Linked DNA regions of Caenorhabditis elegans. The main gene of each other region encodes a partner of the protein of the gene in region 2 in a complex. Each region holds a gene or a part of one and is shown on either strand. Other genes may lie near its edges.

Evidence for each region. Proteins that work in one complex are often made in the same cells at the same time.
Region 1: mec-10 (region 2) and mec-2 share a complex: the UniProt entries of both Caenorhabditis elegans proteins name them as parts of the non-voltage-gated amiloride-sensitive cation channel complex.

Annotation. Positions count from the first base shown.
Region 1 is NC_003284.9:5,573,888-5,577,642, forward strand, and holds the start of mec-2 (Band 7 domain-containing protein), read left to right. Parts: upstream 1-2,081; coding exon 2,082-2,303; intron 2,304-2,359; coding exon 2,360-2,459; intron 2,460-3,755. UniProt on the Caenorhabditis elegans protein: Subunit of an amiloride-sensitive cation channel (degenerin channel complex) permeable for sodium, potassium, lithium and N-methylglucamine, and required for mechanosensory transduction (touch sensitivity).
Region 2 is NC_003284.9:8,468,670-8,472,424, reverse strand, and holds the start of mec-10 (Degenerin mec-10), read left to right. Parts: upstream 1-2,110; 5' UTR 2,111-2,184; coding exon 2,185-2,453; intron 2,454-2,500; coding exon 2,501-2,593; intron 2,594-2,839; coding exon 2,840-2,961; intron 2,962-3,166; coding exon 3,167-3,249; intron 3,250-3,299; coding exon 3,300-3,596; intron 3,597-3,699; coding exon 3,700-3,755. UniProt on the Caenorhabditis elegans protein: Subunit of an amiloride-sensitive cation channel (degenerin channel complex) permeable for sodium, potassium, lithium and N-methylglucamine, and required for mechanosensory transduction (touch sensitivity).

The DNA.
Region 1 (3,755 bases), 2.9 Mb from region 2:
CTGTCAAGAAGAAAGTCTGTTTTATTCATCAAATCCTCGCTCGACATTCACTTACACTCTTACTTTTAATGCAGAGTAAGCTTCTGCTATTCTTGATTGCGTGATGGCCATAGAAGTCGCTTTCGAGGCAAAGTCGGAAATCTGTGTGTTGAGAAGAAAAGGAAGAATGAGTTAATGAGGGCTAGGAAAAGTGAGACGAGAGCTCGAAATTCCTGAGAGCACCTAAAAGCGTCCACCCAAAGAGTGTTAACGTTATGTTTCCCATTTTGCAAAATTGTCAGATACTTCAAGTACTTTCAACTTTTTCAATAAGCCCCCGCAACGACAAGGTTGATTCAATTGGTGTGCATCCTTTTTTCATAACACATACACACATGAAATACATCTTCCATACGTTATGTGTATTTGCAAAAAAAACGCTTCACACCGGAATGACACGTTTCCGCACTCTCAGTTAGCAACAACTGGAGTGTGTTCAAAACAAAAAAAAACGAGAATTCGCAACCAATCTGAAGATGAAAACGGCTAGTTCAAATGGCTTTGTGCATTCGTCATAGTTGTTTCTCAAAACACTCCCAATGGTTTTATGATACTTAAAAATATAATGAAAAAATCTCAAGTTTCACATAATCCATCTTTGTGTCTTTTTTCGAAAGTTATTCTTGACGATGGCGTGGGAAACATATAAACAATACAACAAGAAGTCAGAAGGAGGAGGATATAGTCAGGAGGAGGAGGAGTGAAAAAGAGCATTTAATGAAAATGCAGTGAATCGTAAAGGACTAGATGTTGTAAATTGTGTGTCTAGTTTAATTTTTTACACGAGGAATTCATGAATAAGAAATATAATACAAAGTAAGAAATATGGAAAATTCGAACTAACAAAAAAGGGTATACTGACAATTTTGATAACAGTTGTCAAAAAAGGACCATATGCAAAAAAATACGTTTCGTAAATAGTTGTTTGTTTTGAAAATAGGGGTTATTAAAATGTTATGGCTAAATATCATAGTAAAACAAACTTATACTCTAAAATTAAAACAAAACATTTCTTCGATACATTTTATTTCTATCTTTATTTTGAATTGAGTTTTGGAAATTGTGGAAATTAAGCTGTATGTTTATTTTTGGGTTTTTTAAACTTTAAAATTTATTTTCCATTTTCCGCCTTCAATCCAATCATACATTTATATTTTAGAACACATTTTTAAAAGTAGGTCGTATCATCCAAAAATGTATCAAATTTTTTAAAACCATTTTTTGTTGCAAATTTAAAAATCATAAAGAATTTGGATAATTGCATAATCATTTTTTAAAGAGTTTTTTACAGCACTCTGTCCCTTTGACCCATTTTCTTTAATTTCATACAACCTAAAATTATCATAGTTTTCCCCAAGAGGTAACATTGAAAGTTAGGAATTTTCATAAACAAATTGCGTTAACGTGAGGAATCTGATAAGAAACGTGGACTACTTTTAATTACAAATTTAGAGAGTGTTGAGAGTTTCAGAAGAGTTACAGAAGAGTTATTTCAGCCACCATTATGTATCTCATGATTAAATGTATTTCTAATAATAGTTATTTAAAACTATATCATTTGAAATTAATTTACGGCTTCGAAGCGTTTCGATTTTCAAGAAAATTTTCAGCTTCCCAGGTTTCCCGTTCACTGTTTCCATTCGCCTTTTCCCGCCTGACCTTTTTCCCAAGAAACTACTATTCTAAAGTCCGACCTAACATATGCATATAAGTCCTACTATTCAAGTTTCTGGCAACTTCAAGATCCCAAAACGAAAATGTTCTCGAAACTCTTGCATTACAATGGACAAGTCACGCCAGAGACAATAGGCTAGTAGCAAGTTCTTCGCTGCACTGTTACCCCTAACTGTTTTCTTTGCATTTGTAATCAGGGACGTCATATACCAATTGGAGCAGAGTCGTCTTCTTTTTGGGGTGTGAGCCCGGCTTGCTCAACGAAATCCATACATTCGAGAGTACATCCCACTATTCGCCGAGTGTTTATGTGTCATTCGTGAATCGTGTCCCAGTAGTCTGTGACTGAATGCCCACACATTCAATCTATGAGCGCCACAATGTCATCAGCTCGCAATTCGGTCGTTTCACTATCTTCAAACGGCTCTGTCAAGGTCGAGACTCGATTGGTTAGCAACGAACGGAGCTCTAGTATTCAACAGGAGGGCGCCATGCTCCCATCATCCAGCTCCAAAGACGATGATCTCTTATCAACGTCATCGGACGAAGTTGAGAATATGGCGACCAGGACTTTACAGCAACTTGAAGAGGTGTGTGTCTATTAAATTTTTTGGTTTCCGGATTATCGTATTTGTTTCCGCTGTAGAGTACATCAATCATCTCGGCCAACAGCGACGATGACTCGGTGAAAAAAGAAAAGCAAGCTGAAAAGGATGTGGAGAAAGGAAATGGAAAAGAGGAAAAAGGTAGAAACTACAATCTTTGTCACTTATTTGATTGAATTAGTCATACATATGTAGAAACTCGTGCTTTCATTTGTTAAGTGACAACTTTAAGGTTCAAAATGCTGCTTTACTCTAAAAAAATGTTCGAAATTGTTTAAAATTGTGACACGCTGTTGTTAAAGCTTTAACAACTTATTCAATTATTTAAATTTCTGAAAACTGATGTAAAATACAGTATTTTATTGGGTCATATCTTAGTTGTCCTTTGTTATATCTTTGAAAAAAAGTCAAATGACGAATGCTGTGTTGTTTCTATTTTCATTGTTCTGTAGTTAATCATTTAGTGGTATTCTCACAATGAACCTAAATTTAATTTTTCAAAATAAAACAGTGAAGTGCAATACAAATAGAGGAAATGCGGTTAGCCGACAAGTAATGCTTAAATGTAATTCGAGTTAACCTTGGTACCGATTTGTCTCACAAGTTTCTGGTTATATATACTTCGGTAATATTCTTTATCATTTAAACGTTTGAATGCGCCAGTGGAATTGTGAAATACTACTGGTAAATAAAAACCAACCAAATATAATAATAAAACGTTTCAGTTTTTGAAAATGTTTTATAGACAGTCAAAAAGTGGCGATTTCTGAGTTCATGCTACATTTTGAAAATGCTAAAAATCCCTTGTTTGGCGAGACCCAAGCGCCTACATAGAATACGGCAAAGTTTCTCACCTTTCGACTTCTACATAATATGAAAATTCATTATTTTTAACAGTCAAGTTCAACACAGGCTGGCTCATAATTTTCAATGATCCTGTTTTTTTCTGATCTCTATTTCTTGTCGTATACATGTCGTCGTGCTTCGCCAATTCTCATGATGAAATTCAATAACAAATTCTGATTACTAGTTGTAACACCTCCAATTCTGGTTTTCCTTTGTTTTTTTTCTTGTAGCAAGTTGAGTTGTTTGATATAACTGAGTTCTTAAATCTTATAAACGAAAATTAAGAAATCAGTACTAATAACTAGAAACTATATATTGAAGAAATTGGAGATGTTGTAACATTACGCGTTTGTCGTTCCTACAAAACAAAAAAAATAGCAACAGACTTTCTTAAGCTTAAGGCTTAAGGTGAATTAACAATTAACTACGTTGAACTCAACGATTCTCGAATCTGGTTGAAAACAGCAAATTTACCGACTCATTAATAGTAATTGAATATCAGTACGATTGTTTACTACTTATAAAAAATGGCAGCACCGGTTAGACGTTCCTTTTAAGTGTCATTCTTTCAAATTATCGTGAACTTCCCTT
Region 2 (3,755 bases):
ATGTAAAATATACAGTAGAACGTTTTGTTCAACAAAACTTTTTTTTTGTATTTTTTATCTTTACTTCTTATGTGCATATTAAAATTAAAACAATACTACTAGATTAAAATCAAAACTCCTAATAATTTGTAATATGTTGATCTTTCAATCTTTGAGTTATTTGCAAAATTAGCTAGTTTAGTACAATTTGTTTTATTTTTCAAAGAAAATATGTAGTTTGCCATTGCTCAACTTTTTCTTTCATTTGGATAATATGTAAGGGAATGAGTGAGCAGTAATTGCAATATCTCACAACACATCGCACGTATTTTGAGCTAAAACAGGAATCAAAGTCACTTAACATTAAATCAATAGTATATAAATAGTTGACTTCATTGTGTTGTATATTTGAAGTACTAAACCATAAATAGCTTTTCAAATTTTTTCGAAATGTTTTCAAGCAAATTAGTTAAGATCCGGCTATTTTTCTATCAAACTTCTTAAAAAAAAGAAAAACAACTGAAAGTTTTACAGCTCTTACTATTAGTCATGACATGTCGAACCACCGTAAAAGTTTTGTTGAAAATTTTCTGAAGCAGTCTGGTTCTGAAATTTGGTGAAATTTGGTTCAATCATGTTAATTAGAACAAAAACCCAGAATCGCTACTTCTCTTTTAAAAGCAATAATTCAATCGTCCTTCCCGCTCTCACCTATGGTTCAGAAGCCTGGACATTCACCAAAGCTCTATCCGAACGAGTAAGAATCACACATGCCTCCCTAGAAAGACGGCTTGTGGGAATCACACTCATTCAACAACGAGAATGAGATCTTCATCGAGAAGATATTCGTGAAATGTCTCAAGTAAGAGATCCGCTCAATTTCGTGAAAAAGAGGAAGCTAGGATGGGCTGGACACGTTGCGAGAAAGAAAGACGGAAGATGGACCACGCTGATGACAGAATGGCGCCCCTGGAACTGGAAAAGGCCTGTTGGAAGACCGCCGATGCGATGAACTGATTCGCTGCGAAAGGAGATCACGACTCGGGACGCAGACGGAGAAGTCATCACCCCATGGTCCACTATAGCCAAGGACCGAAAAGAATGGCTTGCTGTGATCCGCAGGAATACCACGAATTCCTGAAGAACGGATCGTCTAAGTAACTAAGCAAGTAAGTAACAAATCATGGTTTCGTCAAAGATCAAAACAATGCGCATTCAAAATTTAGTCTCGCAGCATCTATTGTTTTGTCACTTCTATGTATTTGTCTCGCTCCACTAGGAGCTAATAAAACATATGTTTTGTATTCAAAGTTAATAGAACAATTTTCATAAAAAGGATTAAAAGACAATCCTCGCTCAAGCTATACCCTGCAAAAGTGGAAATCTGGTAATATTGTTGGGGCGCTCCCACGGTGTTTTAAATTAAGCCACGTCCAAACTTGAGACTGAAATCCAGTTTTGGATTGCTTCGCTTCCCAGTTCGGTCTAGGTGAACTTGTCGGAATGCAGCACTTGAACTGGGAACCCATATTCAGTTGCTCACGGCCACCAGTGCCGACTGAGCAATCCCATACCAATTATATTTCAGCAACCAATCAATTTTTATGGGCTCAAATTAATAAAACACTGAAAAGTTAAAATATGATGATGCAATTATTTCTCTTCAGGCATTGTGTTGGTTTTTTTTGTTCTATTCGACCATTGCGAGAAAATTGTCAATGATTAAAAGTCCTCTTAAGAAAGTAAACATAATTTAAAGAAATTTCCATACATCAAGTCCACATGATAATCACGTATTATCTTTGTGCTCACTAGCTACACTTCTATCGATATTTTGTCATCTCTCGTCTTGCGAAATGTGCAAACAGCTATTCTGTAACAGTATAATCGGTCGGTACGTGGTGCTGTTATCAGGTAAATTTCCGTTTTGCGTGACTTTTGACGCACCATCTCGTCTTACTTTTCGATGAAACACACGATTCGATGAGAACATTAAAGTTCATCTATGAACTATCACAACGATAGAATGAAGGAATTTTTTGGGATGGGGAAGTCATGCATAGCTGAGAAACGTGCACAAAACATCCGATTATGGGAAAATGAGTCCCACTTACAAATGCATTCGTTTTGTCGAATTGGTCCAAGCGCTTCACTCGGTTCTTAGAAAACGTCCGTTGATTCTGTTATTTGTACAAAATTCAAAAAATGAATCGAAACCCGCGAATGTCAAAATTTCAACCAAATCCTCGTAGTCGCAGTCGATTTCAAGATGAAACAGATTTGCGTTCGCTCAGAAGTTTCAAAACCGATTTTTCAAATTATCTCGCAAGTGACACTAACTTTCTGAATGTTGCGGAAATTATGACATCTTATGCTTACGGAGAAAGCAATAATGCACACGAAAAAGAAATTCAGTGCGATCTTCTGACAGAAAACGGTGGTATTGAAATTGACCCGACAAGATTATCTTACAGGTTTGTCTTTTTCTTCGATTATTTGTGATTTCATACTAATTTTTCAGAGAAAGAATAAGATGGCATTTACAACAGTTTTGCTATAAAACATCTAGTCATGGTATTCCAATGCTTGGGCAAGCTCCAAACAGTTTATACAGGTAATAGGCATATTGGGAGGGAGCTTCATCTTAAGAAACAGCAGAGATATGAAAAAAAAACCAGCTGTTAGCTATTTTTAAAGTTTTCAACGGTCATAATAAAAGTGTTTAGTTTATTTAATCAAAAGATCATTGAAGAAAAATAAAAAATAATAAACAAAAACACTTACTTCTCCTTTAAACAAAATTATCTAACAATATTTTTTTGTGTTTGACAGTAAACCAACCCATAAAACCTTTTTCCAGAGCTGCATGGGTATTCTTGCTTCTAATCTGTGCTATACAATTTATCAATCAGGCGGTCGCTGTGATTCAGAAGTATCAGAAGATGGATAAAATCACGGATATACAATTGAAGTTTGACACAGGCGAGTGGTTTCTGAGTTCTTCAATACGATCTTAAAAAGTGTTTTGAAAATAGTAGTAACGCATTTTTCACCTTTATAACTTTTACTTTAAGTTTTTTGTTTCCGTGCTTATAATAATATCATGTCACTGTTTTTAACTGCAATACAATACGATACCATTTTCAAAATATTCCAGGTGTAAGTTTTTAGTTTCCGTTTTTTTCAGCGCCCTTTCCTGCAATTACTCTTTGCAATTTGAACCCGTACAAAGATAGTGTCATCAGATCACATGACAGTATTAGTAAAATCGTGAGTTTCTGTTTTCCCGAGAGTTTTCCCCTCTATTCATATTTTTTTAGCTTGGTGTATTCAAAAGTGTTATGAAAAAAGCTGGTGATAGCAGCTCGGAAGCATTGGAAGAAGAGGAGGAAACCGAATATGATATGAATGGAATAACTATCCAAGCAAAAAGAAAAAAGAGAGGAGCTGGCGAGAAGGGAACATTTGAACCAGCGAACTCGGCTTGTGAGTGCGACGAGGAAGACGGTTCCAATGAATGTGAAGAAAGATCCACTGAAAAGCCATCGGGCGATAATGATATGTGCATTTGTGCTTTCGATCGGCAGACCAACGATGCGTGGCCGTGTCATAGAAAAGTAGGTCACTCTCAAAGCTTTGGTGTATTCCGCCTATTAGTTTGCATGAAGCAACTTGTTGCAAAAAAAAGAGAAAATAGAAACGTCAACAGATTTTTTTCAGGAGCAGTGGACAAATACTACATGTCAAACGTGTGATGAGCATTATTTATGCAGCAA